2 linked regions of the Elephas maximus indicus genome follow. The protein of the gene in region 2 interacts with the protein of the main gene of each other region in a pairwise test. Links are inferred from orthologs where the notes say so. Each region holds a gene or a part of one and is shown on either strand. Other genes may lie near its edges.

Region 1 (6,865 bases), on a different chromosome or scaffold from region 2:
CAGGCAGAGGTGGCAGGATGGGCCCTAAGGATGAGGCTGATGGGGAAGGCAGCTCCTCCGGGGGCGTGGACCCTGAAGCCCCCTCCTCCAGCGATGACAGAGACTCATTCCGAAGTGGGTTGTACTTGGGCTTGGGGGGAAGGAGATCCATGGCTGGGGTGAGAGGGGTGCTGCTGCCCAGCCCGGCCCCCCTGCCAGTCAGGGCAAGGGGGCCAGGCAGGAGGCATCCCCAGGCCCTTAGCCTGGTCGGAACTCTATAGCCCAGGGGTCTCAGGAGTCCTGAGGAGGGAGAGAGACAGGTAGCTTCAGCTCCCCCAGCTCAGCCCCAAACAGTTTCAGGGCCCATCTCCGCCCAGCATGGAGCCTCTTCTCTGGCGAGAGGAGAACAGGCTGGACCCAGAGCTGCCTAGCTCCTCCTCAGGGGCGGAGAGCTGAGGGGAGAGACCAATCCCAAGGACAGTGCTGACTCACAGGCTCTGAGGGGCTGATCCCCCACTGCCAACCCAACCTAGAACCCTTGCTGGGTTAGGGACAGCGACGTCCCTCTTCCCCCACCTCCAAACAACCAACCAGCTATCTGGGGAGGAGTAAGGTGGGCGTTGAAGGGAAGGATAGAGGGAAGGAAAGGAGGGAGATAAGAGGAGGTCTGGATCAGTCCAAACCGGACATGGGCAGGCCAGGGGGGAAGCAGGAAACCAGGAAAGGGAGAGGTGGGCGGGGGGGGGGGTGGGGAGCAATGAGGGAGGAAACAGAGACAGCTGGGGGTGGAAAAGGGAGGGGATCCCTGAGCTCAGCACTTTCTTTCCTGTCCTGGTCGAACACTCAAATTTCCCCATCTTCCAGCCCAGGCCACCTCGCCCTTCACTAACACACAGTGGGGCTGTGGACCTAGGGAGCCGGAGCCATTAGCATCCTCTGCCACAACAGCTGTGGACTGGAGGTAGGGAGATGGGGAAGGGAAGGAAGTGGTCCCAGTGGATGTAGAGAGGGGCCAAGACGAAGGGCGAAGCTGGTAAAGTAAGGAGGAAGTCCAACCTCGGTGGTGCATCAGGGAGCCACAAGGCAAGAGCTGGAGCAAGAGGACAGGTTGGCTGCGGCTTCTTCCCTATGCAAGGCACCCACCATGGCAAAGAGCAGCAGCCCACAGCCAGGCACTGTTCTGGCTGCTTTTCCACAGGCACAAGTTAGCAAAGCAAGCTGTCAAAGCTGAGAAGCGGATGGCCTGGGTACTAACTCTAAAGTCAACTCCCCAGTCCTGCCAGGTATACTCATACTCTTCCTCTTGCAGTGGTGACTGGGAATGCCCAGGTGTCCACCATGGAGCACAGTGTCCCTAACACCAGGGAAGGAGTCTGGCTGGGGGAGGTGGGAGAGTGTGGCAGCTCTCCAAGAGAAGTGGGGCCTCCAAGCTACAAAGGGATAGAGAGAACAGAAGACAGATCTATGTTAATAAATACAGGAGAAAGGGATGCCAGGAGAAGATGGGCTGAGGCCGGACACAGGGAACAATCCCGAGCCCATCCCTTCCACCCACAGCTTCCTGTCACAGCTGTGCTTGAGGGGATCACAGAGGAAGTTAGAAAGTGGCCAAAAACAAAAAGATACACATACCCCCAGGATCACCTCAGAATTACCCTATTTTTTTTTCAATTTACTTCAGAGAATAAAAAGAAGGGAATAATCGTATGATTACAGTGATAACAGTACCAGCACTTAAAACGTGTTATATATTGTGCTAAACGCTTTCACCTCCCCTTAGTCTTCATCCCAGAAGAGCTCATCACTCCATCCACCACTCCTGAAAAGGAATTCTATCACTTCATTTCCTAAGGCCTCAGCTCTCAGGCAAACGGAGAATGAGGAAAGGATTCTGCCACAGCCTCACACCCCCCCAAAACACAAACACACACCAAACCCGTTGCCGTCGAGTCAATTCCAACTCATAGCAACCCTATAGGACAGAGCAGAACTGCCCCATAGAGCTTCCAGGGAGCGCCTGGTGGATTCTAACTGCTGACCTTTTGGTTAGCAGCCATAGCACTTAACCCTAATCTTTAGAGATGGCCGTTCTGTGGAGTCTGCAGTATCCAGAGGCAGGGAGTGACCAACAGGTATGGGCAGTTGGAAGAAAAGAAAGAGGAAGTTTAACTCTAAATTTGCATAGGGAGAAAGGAGATTGCCTACTGGGAGTCCCGGTGATTGGGTGTGGGGAAGGAGCTGTGCCTGGCTTCTCAGCCCAGCAGGGAGGAGGCAAGAGGAGCGGGAAGTAGCAGGAAATGGCGAAAGCCTCAGGAATGTTTCCAGTAGGGAAGGCTGGGCAAGCGGAGCCAGGAGGAATGCCCAGGCAAGAACTCTGGTTTGGGGGAAGGGAAGACTGAGGAGTCCCTTAGAAAAAAATCAAACCGCAAAATAGGACACTGCTCCCCATCCCTGCTCCAAACCACCGTTCTGTCTGGTGATAGAAAATTTTGGCTCCTGTCACAAGCACATGCCACACACTAACGAATCCACGGCCCTACCCAACTCCTGCGGTACAGGTACGACTTGCAGCTGTTTCTGGGGTGGACTCGGTCCTGGGAAGTGGGCTGGCAATGGAGGGAATAGGGCTGGGAATCTATGAGCAAGTCTCTCTACCAGTCTCGTGCCAAACCCCAAGTCCAGCCCACTTCAAGCCGGTCCACTCTAGGAAGGGGGGTAAGGGAAAGGAAAACGGTGCCTCTATTCTCCCACTTTTCAGGGCCAGAGATGGGAACTGTGACTTCCCACCCGGTGGAGCATGAGAGCGCAGGAGAACTGAGTCCAAGGACCTGAAAGACGGACCGGGAAGTGTAAGCACGTGAGACTTCTAGAATTGAAGACAAAACTTCAGAGGTGATGACAAGGATAAAGCCCCAGCGGGGGCGTGGCCCCTAGGACGCGAGCAAGGGAAATTTCTATGAGGAGAGGCTTCTGGACGATCAGACTTAGATTAAGGAAAGGGCGGGGCTTCTAGAGGGGCGGGGCTTCTACAGAGGCGTGGCTTCAACGGATTCTCGAATAGTTCTTTGAAGCGCGAGGGTTGGCTTGGCCCTTTTGGGGGACAGGCTTCTTGACAGACAGGAGTTAGCGGAAAACCGTCGCAAGAAGGCGGAGCTTCGGCGACTTGGAAGCATTAACGAAGGGTTTCTCGTAGTAGGGTTTGGAAGCATGTCTAGGGGTGGGACTTCCAGGAAAGATGGACGACTGGGTAGCGTCAGGAACAATAAATAAAAAAAAAAATCACGGTTCAGGGAGCCCCCTGGAGCTGGGAGGTGGAACTTCCGCGGAGGGGGTCGCAAGGGGCGGGACTTAACAATGAAGACCGGAAGTGGGGTCCCGGGAGAGGGGTTCCGGGGTGGAGATGTGGATCACCTAAACAGAAAAAACGTCAAGACTCACCAGGGCTGCATGGAGTCTCCGCACCGCACCGCGGGCCTGTTTGGTTCCGGATTACGCCACTGCCTCCTTAGGTTCCCTCTCCAACTTTCTCCCCGGACCCGGCCTCCCTGGAGAAACTTTATTGCTCTCACTTCCGGTCTCACTAACCCCTGACCCTCTACCTCACCGTCCCTCCTTCACCCGTCCCACTTTCTCGAGTCAGCCAATGGTAGCGCGAGAACGCGCACAGGAGCAGTGGTAGCCAATAAGAGGCCTATTTTTGACCCAAACTCGTTCTTGAGAAACGTAGGACCTACCCTCCAATAAGGACCCTAGTAGTAGTAAATTTAAGCCAATCGGAGGCTTGAAGGTGGAGCTGTCCCGCCTTGAACAAAAGGGACCAATAAGAAGTGTGGGCGGTGTGTTTGAAAGCGAGGCCAAAGGGGGTGGGAGCGCGTGCTGCTGGGAGTTGTTTGGAGGTTGGCGGCGCGGGTCTGAAGTCCCTCAGGCTGAGCGATTATGTCGCACAAACAAATCTACTACTCGGACAAATACGATGACGAGGAGTTCGAGTACCGGTTAGTGCCGGCGCGGGGGCCTTAACGAAGTTGTGAACCTTGTCAAGTGAGGGCACGAGTTAGTAATGAGGACTGAGGCGACAGAATTGGCGCATGCGCGAGAGATGTACGGGGTGGGTTTGAGCCGGGTGAGGCGTAGAGAGCATGCGCGAGGGGTGGGACGCTCTCTGAAAAAGACAAATTGGTTGAAAATTTGGAATAAGCCCTCTGTTGAGCATAGATGGGCGTGGTTAGAGTGCTGACTGCCTTCACCCGTGCGGATTTCTGAATCTTTCTCGCAGCTGCTGGCAAGTTGAACTTGCCTTGCGATTACTATCATAAGAATACCATAGGACCCTAGAGCCTACCGGGAGAAGGTGGCAAAGGCAAAGCTGGAATTTTCCTCGTGTCCTCCGTGCGAGGAGAGACCGAGTGCTGCGGGCGTGGCTGTCCGGCTTATTTTAGGAAGGGCGCTGCTAGGAACAGGAGTGGGAAAAAAACTGGCCAGGAACACTGAGAAAAAACTTACGATGGATCTGATAGATGGCTTCAAATATTTGAAGGGCATCTATTCATGAATCAATTATGGAGGGCTTATAGTTTTCAGGTGTTCTGCCAAGGTGCAAGAATAAGACATGGTCTCAGCTTTCAACGAAAAGTCTTAAAGATACTAACAGACTCCAGAAAGGTGATAAATGCTATGGTGGAGATGTTACAGGGTGTGATGGGAGCACATTAAACCTGCTAAGGGGAAAGATCTGAGAGAGCTTCTTGGAGGAAACTGCCTGAGATGAGGTTCAAGGAAGGATGGAGAAAACAGCTCTGACCAAAATTGTTTTAAAAGATAACTGGATAGCCATCTACCAAGGGTGGTGAAAAAGGAATCCCTGAGTTGGATGCAGAGTTTGCATTGGATAAATTCTAAGTCCATAATTCTAGATTGGAAAATGAGGGAAAGTAGAGGATTCTACAACTTGACATTCTCCTAATCTTTATTAATTGTAATACTTAAGACAACTTCCTAGTTTGCGTCTTGTCTCCGCAATTGTAGAACATAAAATGGAAACTTGCTTTTCTTGTCTCTACACCCAGCCTAGTGAAGGCCACAGGGTGCTCTGGAGTGTGTTCGTAGATAAAAAAGACACATCTCCATGCCAGGTCCTTGGGAAAAGACCCAGGCCCTTCTTGGACTCAATTAACTTTCTTTTCCTCAGCTGTTTTCCTCTACATCTGAACTAAACGAACTAAAACTGTATGCTTATAACATCTTGGCAGAGTTAGGGGGGAGTCACTAGTTTCATCCCCTGGAAGAGAGAACAATGAGCTCGGCAGTGGTGTTTTGGTTTAAGAGGTTATCTATTTGTCGTTTGTTTCATTATGCACTGAAGCCAAACGTTGTGCCCAGAGCTTGTTAGAATGTAAGCTATTTTCAGACCTTTAGGCTAGAACTATGTCTGGAGAAAACCTGTTAATAACTGAGAGGGAGCATTTAGTACATTTGCATTGAGCATGAAGTCTGTCCAGGTTAGCCCAATTCAGAATCAGAGTAATTTTTTGCAATGAAGAGAGACTTATCCTTGCTTAGGAAGGTGTGAAGTTTCCCAAAAGAAGTGTCATGACACATCCCTTCAGAGTTAGGAAAATGAGATTTGGGCTAGATTTTCAAGAATTAAGACATGTCCTTTTCATCCTTTCAGTGGCCCTTCCACCCAGCAGTCCATGTAGGCCTTTCCACAAAATGACTTCACTTTCTTGCCAATCCTTTCAGAACTCAGTTAACAGCTAGACGATTATAAGCTCCCTGACAATGTCTCAAGAGTGCTCGCTCATTTGAATTATTCATTAATTTGTACTTTTTAGTGTACTTTTGTGAGGATTTACATAACTTGGTCTGTATTTATAGCTGTCTCTAGCCCACAGTATAAGCCCTGGTGGCACAGTGGTTAAGAGCTTGGCTGCTAAACAAAAGGTCGGCAGTTCGAATCCACCAGTTGCTCCTTGGAAACCCAATGGGGCAGTTCTACTCTGTTCTATAGGGTTGCTAAGAGTCAGAATCCACTTGACAGTAATGCGTTTAACCCCACAATAAGATTGTATAAACTCCCTGACGTGAAAAACTAGTTTCTCTTTTCTTTACTCTCTTGGCTTTGTATGCTATTTTATTTAACAGACTGTACCCAGTACTGACAAATTCCCTTTCTCCCCTTGTTTCTGTTACAGGCATGTCATGTTGCCCAAGGATATAGCCAAGCTGGTCCCTAAAACCCATTTGATGTCTGAATCTGAATGGAGGAATCTTGGTGTTCAGCAGAGTCAGGGATGGGTCCATTATATGATCCATGAACCAGGTTAGTGGTGTGGCTGAAAGCAACCATACAAGACTGCTACATGGAGGGAGTAAGATTCCACAACCCAAAGAAGTGGGGGGAGGGACGATTTACTGACCTTTTTCCCACCAGCCATCTAGAAAAACTGGAGTGACCAAAAATAAAAATTAAAGTATCTGGGGAGTTTAGAGCCAGCCTGTCACTGAAAGCCCCCTTTAATCTTTAACTCAGCCAGAGAGTACTCTTTTTAAGGCCTGATATATCCTGGTAGAGGTTGTAGCCCCTGCTTCATTCTCCATCAGAAAGCCAGTTCTTGGATGTGTTCCAGATAAGCCAAGGAAAGTATATTTCGTGATAAGACACCAGACACCCGGCTGCCAGGCAAAACTAATAAAGGACACTCCAGGGCTGTACAAACATAGTAAACGAACTGATATTAACAATTCTGTAGTTGGCAGACAGGCCAGACTTCTGGGTCTGCTTCTGAGGCCATATGCTTAAATCTTAAATTAGTTATAAAGATCTGAGTGGGTGATAGCTCGGAGGTTGGAGTGGGATGGGCTGGGATAAACTATAGCCTGTGCA
Region 2 (7,713 bases):
ACTCCCAGACTTTTCCAGTAGTTGATCTTCATTTGTTGCCAGATAGACTCATCGGCAGTCTCTCCTGAGCTTCTGACTGCTGCCTTTGCTCCATTAGGAGGTGAGAGCTGCTAGCCTGTCCTGCCAACGGCTTGGCCTCAGGCCTCCCTGTCCTGGGGCTGCTCCTCTGGTCCCACAGTAGATCTATCCCTCTGCCCTATCCATTGACGTGGGTCGATTCTGACTCACAGTGACCCTATAGGCCAGAGTAGAACTATCCCACAGGGTTTCCAAGGCTGTAAATCTTTATAGGAGCAGGCTGCCACAGCTTTCTCCTGCAGGGTGACTGGTGGGTTCTAACTGCTGACCTTGTGGTCCACAGCTGAGTGCTTTAACCACTGAACCACCAGGGCTCCTCCATCTGTCAGTGGACACTTTCATGTTGCTCTGAGGCTGAGCAGGTTTCAGCACTCTTTCCAGACTACGGCTAGGAAGAGAGGCCTGGTGATCCATTTTTCAAGGCCAATCACTGAAAACCCTGTGGATAATAATGGTCCGATCCACAACTGATCATGGGGATGGAGCAGGACTGGGCAGCATTTCACTCCCTTGTGCATGAGGTCGCCATGAATCAGGGACTAACTCGACAGCAGCTAAACGTAACAAGATCTGTGTGCGATCCTTACAAACCTTCCTTCTGAATCCAGGAGCCACTAGAAATATCCCCCAAAGTTCTGAGTTTTCCGTCTGCCCTATGAAGCAAAAATAACAAACGTCCCCTATGGCATCATGCAATTTGAAGGTGACAGGCACCATGATTATCCCCTATCTTCCCAGCCCCTTCCACAAATGAAGAGAGAAAGGTCTGAACATGGCGCCCATGCCCACCTCTGGCTTCTGGACCAAGAGCTGCAGTTCCTGCGGCTCTCAGGGGCAGGGCAGGGGGCCCCACGCTCTCTCGCGGACCCTTCTGCTTGCTGGATTTTGCTGCGTGATTCATCATCAGACAGTGGCAGCGAGGGAGCCAGCCCGAGAGTCCCGGATGCCTGCCCGCCCTTTCCTTTGTCTCGTCTCGACCTGTCTGTTTAGATTAGAAACCCACGAGGCATGTCTTCCTCTGCGCTCTGCGCGGCGCCCACCGATTGTGGATGCTCACGGAACGTGGATGATTGATGATGGTGTGATCTGAGTAGTAACAGGCATTTTGGGGACGAGCTGAAGGAAGCTCCTGAGCACTGGGCTATGGAGGCTGGTGTCCTGCAGAGGGGAAGGGACCCCTTGGATGGGCATCTGGAGACACGGGGACCAGAATGGCCCAGCTCCACATGCTCTTCCTTTTAAAAACAAAAAGCAAATTGATCAAACAAGTCTTCATACAAGCTGCAGTATTGTGACTTAAAAAAAAAAAAAAAACTATTGTAGTGAATATATATAACAAGAAAAAGCAATTTCAACATTTGGTATCATGCCTTTTTAACAGCTGCAGTAATTACGTGTCAGCTGTCGAAAATTTTGAGCCAAAGGGAGCAAGACAATGAGGGCACCAAAACAATGATTGTTAATTGAGCGCTTAGGAGGTGTCAACCCCTTTATGTATGTTATCTCAAAAAAAAAAAACAAAAAACAAAAAAAACTCCATTGGCCCGAGTAGAACTGCTCCGTAGGGTTTCCAAGGATCAACTTGTGGATTTGAATTGCCCACGTTTTGGTTAGCAACCCTGATCTTAACCACTGTGCCACCAGGGCTCCGTGTTAATCTCACGTTAGGTATAATTTCCCCGATTTGAGGACAAGGAAACTTAACTTCTGAGAGGGTGGGTGACTTGTCCACTCCACACAGTGACTACTTCTTGGACCCCAGACTTGCACGCTGGTCTGCTGACACCCATGCACACGGCCTTTCCACCTGCAGCCTCATTTGTTTTTATCAATGTCTTCCTCTGGATGCAGTGAAGGAAGTTCCTCTCATGCTGTAGTGGGTTGAATGGTACCCCCTCTCCAAACCTCTCCTCCCACAAAAAAAAGTATGCCAGGAACCGAGAATGTGACCTTATTTGGAAAAAGAGTCTTTGCAGGTATATTTAAAGATTCAAAATCATTCTGGATTAGGGTGGGCGGTAAATCCCATGACAAGTGTCTTTACAAGGGCAGAAAAGGGGAGAAAACACAGAGAATGTCACATGAAGACCAAGGCAGAGATGGCAGTGAAGTATCTACCAGCCAAGGATTGCTGGCAGCCACCACAGTGGCTCAGTGGTTAAGTGCTCAGCTGCTAAACAAAAGGTTGGCAGTTCACATCCACCAGCAGCTCTGAGGAAGGAAGACCTGGTGATTTGCTCAGGTAAAGATTACAGCCTAGGAATCCCTATGGGGCAGTTCTACTCTGTCGTATAGGGTAGCTATGAGAGTGGCTATGAGTCTGAATTGACTTGATGGCGCACAAAAACAACTAGAAGCTAGGAGACGCATGATATCGATTTTCCCTTAGAGCCTCAGAAGGAACCAACCCTGCAGACACCTTGAGTTCGAACTTTTAAGGTCCAGAACTGTGAGAAAGTAAATGTGCTGTTTTCAGCCGCCCAGTTTGTGGTAACTGGTTGAGGCTGTGCTACGAAACCAGTACACGTGCTAACGTAGCAAGATAGTTAGTGTGTTCCTCCCCTTCCTTCCTTCCTTCAGTATTCCTCATGGGTCTTAGAAAAGACTGGGTCACGGGTCAAAATTGTGCCATCACTTTTTGTTGTTGTTGGGGGCCGTCAAGTCAATTCTGACTCATAGCAACCCTATAGTAGTAATTAAAAACACATCGGCGGATACTAACAGATGCCTTTGTCCATGTGGCACCTTTGTAGGAGCAGAGCTTGTGTTCCTTGGCACTGTAGATCTCTTTGTGGGAGGACAAGGCTCAAATGAATTTGCTGGAATGGACCAGGACGCTGGGCTTGAGGAGCCCAAGGTGGGACTACATCCCCAGGGTGGTAGAACGTGCATCTATGCTGGTGACTCTGACATAGGTGAAATGACATACGTAGAGCGTCTTGCACGGTGCCAGAACTTACTGGGCGTGCAGTAATGTTAGCTTCCTTCTTCTCTCTAATTAGTCTCCTTAGCTCAGCCCCAACCATCGCAGCCCATTGATGGCACAGCCCCTTCCAGGTCTCTAGACCATGGCGACGTCCCCATTCCCGTGTTTGGTGCAGGTCTTCTCGCTATAACTCACCGGATATACAGGTGCTTCCGTGAGGTATGCACAAGTGAAACCTCAGTAGTGTTTTCAGACAATATGGGCGTTAGTCACTTAAAGGAATCCTGAGACAAGCTCCCTTATAAAAAATGAAGAATTCTTTGAAAATGCAATTAATGGCCTTCTTGATTTTTGAGTAGCTATATTTTCCAATTTTTGTACATCGGGTTTCTTAAAGCAGGGTGTAACTTGTAACTTGGGCGTGGGAGACTCTGAATGGCAGCTAAGGTGTCCCTGGACCTGCTGACCCTGGCCCGCCATTTTCTTCCCTGCATATGGCATACTAATAGGGAATTGGGGCTCTCTGGTTAATCAGAGGCTTAAGTTACATCAATAACCAGAACGAATGTCCCCATGAGCAGCCTCTGATAGAATTAAGACCAAATTCTCATGGTAACCACAGAGAAAGTAAATAAAAAATTATATACAGAATAAAACCAAACCCAAACCCATTGCTTCTGAGTCAATAAATGGCTCAGCACATACACACCAAAAATCTATATACAAAATAAGTCAGCACTGGAGGGAAAGGGGAACAAAAATGGGCTAAATCACACAGAAAACTAGTAACAAAATGGCAGAAGTTAAGTCCTCCTTTATCTATAATTACTGTGAATGTAAATGGATTAAACACGTGAGTCAAGAGGCTGAGAGTGGCAGATTGGGTTAAAAAAAAAAAGACTCATCTATACGGTGTTGGCAAAGAATATTGAATATACCATGGACTGCCAAAAGAATGAACAAATCTGTCTTGGAAGAAGTACAGCCACAATGCTCCTTAGAAGCGAGAATAGCAAGACTTCACCTCACATACTTTAGACATGTTATTGGGAGGGGACCAGTCCCTGGAGAAGGACATCATGTGTAGTAAAGTAGAGGGTCAGCGAAAAAGAGGAAGACACAGTGGCTGCAAAAATGGGCTCAAGCATAAGAATTGTGAGGATGGCGCAGGACGGGGCAGTGTTTCATTCTGTTGTACATAGGGCTGTTGTGAGTCAGAACTGACTCGGCAGTACCTAATAACAACAAGAACAACATATGCTGTCTACAAGAGACATGTCTTAGGCACAGAGGCACAAAAAGGTGAAGGCGAATTGGAAAATTTTGTCGAGAGGGGCTGGGCTGCTCCCCTCACAAAGCTCAGATGTCAGCCTTGTGATCTTGATGCAGTTTCTACATTTCCTCCTTTGGCCTGGGCAGAGTTCAGTTTGGGTTCCTTCCTTCTTCAGTGGTCCAACTCCAAGCAGAAGATGCCATGTCTAGAGAGAGGGAAGCAGTCTCAGCCCAGCCTTGCAGTGGGGATGTGAATGGCAGCTGGGATGACCAAACAGGGGCTGCTGTTTGGGCTATTGTGTGTCACACTGACCTGGCCAGGTATGTGGACACAGCCAGGGGCAAGCTCTTCCTGGCCTTCTGATGCCTTATTACCTCCTGCAATGCTCAGAGAGAAACCATGAGCCCTGAAGAACACCATATGGTTTTGTGATGTCACCTCTGGAATGTTCTGAGTGTTTGGATGACCAACTTCTGCAGCAGACCTATACCTGGCACCTCACACTGGTATGCCTTTTTTACTTGAGATAGAAATAATAATCTTAGACAAGGATGTAGGTATGACTGTCTCTGCTTCAAAGACACCCAGAAGGCTTTCACATCAGCTAAAACATCTGTCTTAATTTCTGTTCAGAGACTGATGAACATCTTACCAGATATCATCCACACATTCTTTTAGACTTGGGTTTTCATAATGTCCATGATGGCCCAGAGGGGAATAAAGAAGTACGAAGTGTTGTTTTTCCAGTGCCCAACTGAGGCCCAGAGAATGAGCTGGGAAGCAGAAATCTTATTTTCTCTTTTCCACAGAATTCCTGGCCAAATTTTACAAGGAACAGAGATACCAGATCTGAAAACGTAGAAATTCCAATCAGTGTGGTTCTACTTCAGGTAGGGATTATGACAGAAGGGTGTAACCGCCACATTAGTCAGACTAATCCTCCTCTTTCCAAACTCTAGCATGACGTCTCGGAACAAGTAGAGGAGGCAGGGCCTCAGATTCCAGTTCCGGGTTGGTTGCCGACCAGCTATATGTCTGGGAGAGGCAACTTTGCTACTCTGGGACTTGGATTTCTCTTCCCTCACTTGAAGGGGTTGGGCTAGATCATTCCCTAAGACTTTCCAGTTCTAACATATCAAGTCTCTACAATTCTCTGAAAAAACCTGACCTTCTCAAAATGAGATCTTTTGGCACTAGCCGTTGTGCAACCAGTCTGGATTTCTGGGGGCAGAAATAGGACTAGGTCTTGCAATCAAAAGTATGCAAGCAAATCCATTAGAAGGCCTAGTATACAGACCAAGGGATACAAGACTATTTGGAGGTGTCAAGAGAATTAAGCCCAAAGAAGTAAAAAAAATAATAAAAAATTTTTACTTCTTTTTATGTATCAAAGAAGGAGCTCTGGTGGTACGATGGTTAAGTGCTCGGCTGCTAACAGGAAGGTCAGTGGTCTAAACCCACCAGCAGTTCCACAGAAGAAAAGATCTGGTATCTGCTCCTGTAAAGATTACAGCCTAGTGAACCAGATGGGGCTGTTCTACCGTGTCCTAGAGGGTCACTATCAATCAGTTGATTTGACAGCACATAGCAACACCAATGTATCAAAGAGGAGTCCCTGGGTGGTGAAAATGGTTAAGTGCTCGGCTGTTAACTGCAAAGTTGAACGTTCTAATGCATACAGAGGCACCTTAGAAGAAAAGTCTGGCAATCTACTTCCAAAAAATCAGCCATTGGAAACACCACGGAGCATGTTTCTACTCTGACACACGTAGGGTCTGCATGAGTTGGAACCAACTCAATGGCAACTGGTTTTTATGTACCAAAGACAGAGGGCTTAGGGGAGACTGGCATGCTTTTATGATAGGGATTCAGGCAGAGGTCAATGAATTGGTAAAGTCCTGACAGGCTTGGAATACCCAGATTTCCTCCTGCTGTTTCCTTGGTGGGGTCCTGATTGGATTCCTACTGCTGCTATGTCACAAAGGGTCAGACTTACTTCTCCAGAGTCACTTAAGGCCCTGTTTGAAGACTATGGACGGGCAGCCAGAGGGGCTGAAATGTAGGGTGGAGGAGTCAAATGCAGAGGTAACGATCTGAAAGCTCTGTCCAGGGATGTGTACGAGGAGGCTCGATTGCCAGTGGGCATTCCATATTATTTTTATTTTCCTAAAGTTTTTTCTTAAGAATTTTCAGGAGAAGTACATGATTAGAAAGAAAACCTTTAGCATTCTTTGGGGTCGACTCTGACTCATGGTGACCCTATGTGTGTCAGAATAGAACTGTGCTCGATAAAGTTTTCAGTGGCTGATTTTTGGGAATTAGATTGCCAGGTCTTTCTTCCAAGGTGGCTCTGGGTAGACTTGAACTGCCGACGTTTTGGTGAGTAGTTGAGCTTATTACTTGTTTGGAGCACTCTGGGACTCCCATTCTTCCTATAAACCAAAGAACCAATCTCATTGCCATCACATTACAGCGTAGAGCTGAGGTCCACAGGATTTTGTTGGCTGTTATCTTTACGGAAGTAGATCTCCAGGCCTTTCTTCTGTGATGCCTCTGGGTGGGTTCAAACTGCCAACCTTTGGGTTAGTAGTTGAGTGTAAACGATTTGCACCACCCAGGGACCACCTCCATTCTTTATAAGTTGTTGTTGTTTGTACATGGTGGAGGTAATTTTTACAATCTAGGCAATATGTTCAGCAAGAGGGAAAAATACAGGACAAGAAAACATTCTGGATATATTTTTTTTTTTATTAACTTTTATTGAGCTTCAAGTGAACGTTTACAAATCAAGTCAGTCTGTCACATATAGGTTAATATACATCTTACTCCTTACTCCCACTTGCTCTCCCCCTAATGAGTCAGCCCTTCCAGTCTCTCCTTTCGTGAAAACTTTGCCAGCCTCCAACTCTCTCTGTCCTCCCATCCCCACTCCAGACAGGAGATGCCAACACAGTCTCAAGTGTCCACCTGATATAATTAGCTCACTCTTCATCAGCATCTCTCTCCCACCCACTGTCCAGTTCCTTTCATGTCTGATGAATTGTCTTCGGGGATGGTTCCCGTCCTTTGCCAACAGAAGGTTTGGGGACCATGACCACCGGGATTCCTCTAGTCACATCCAGACCATTAAGTATGGTCTTTTTATGAGAATTTGGGGTCTGCATCCCACTGATCTCCTGCTCCCTCAGGGGTTCTCTATTGTGCTCCCTGTGAGGGCAGTCATCGATTGTGGCCGGGCACCAACTAGTACTTCTGGTCTCAGGATAATGTAGGTCTCTGGTTCATGTGGCCCGTTCTGTCTCTTGGGCTCTTAGTTGTCGTGTGACCTTGGTGTTCTTCATTCTCCTTTGCTCCAGGTGGGTTGAGACCAATTGATGCATCTTAGATGGCCGCTTGTTAGCATTTAAGACCCCAGACGCCACATTTCAAAGTGGGA

Evidence for each region.
Region 1: the proteins of CBY2 (region 2) and CKS1B interact in binary tests that used the Homo sapiens proteins (3 or more experiments, as listed by UniProt). The two-hybrid records come from large-scale screens. The link is inferred for Elephas maximus indicus from reciprocal best matches to the Homo sapiens genes CBY2 and CKS1B.

What each region holds. Positions count from the first base shown.
Region 1 is NC_064821.1:192,881,141-192,888,005, forward strand, and holds the start of CKS1B (cyclin-dependent kinases regulatory subunit 1), read left to right. Parts: upstream 1-3,840; 5' UTR 3,841-3,915; coding exon 3,916-3,974; intron 3,975-6,173; coding exon 6,174-6,301; intron 6,302-6,865. Other genes in the region: SHC1 (SHC-transforming protein 1), read right to left, coding at 1-151.
Region 2 is NC_064832.1:34,356,280-34,363,992, reverse strand, and holds the start of CBY2 (protein chibby homolog 2), read left to right. Parts: upstream 1-4,708; coding exon 4,709-4,783; intron 4,784-5,086; coding exon 5,087-5,167; intron 5,168-7,713.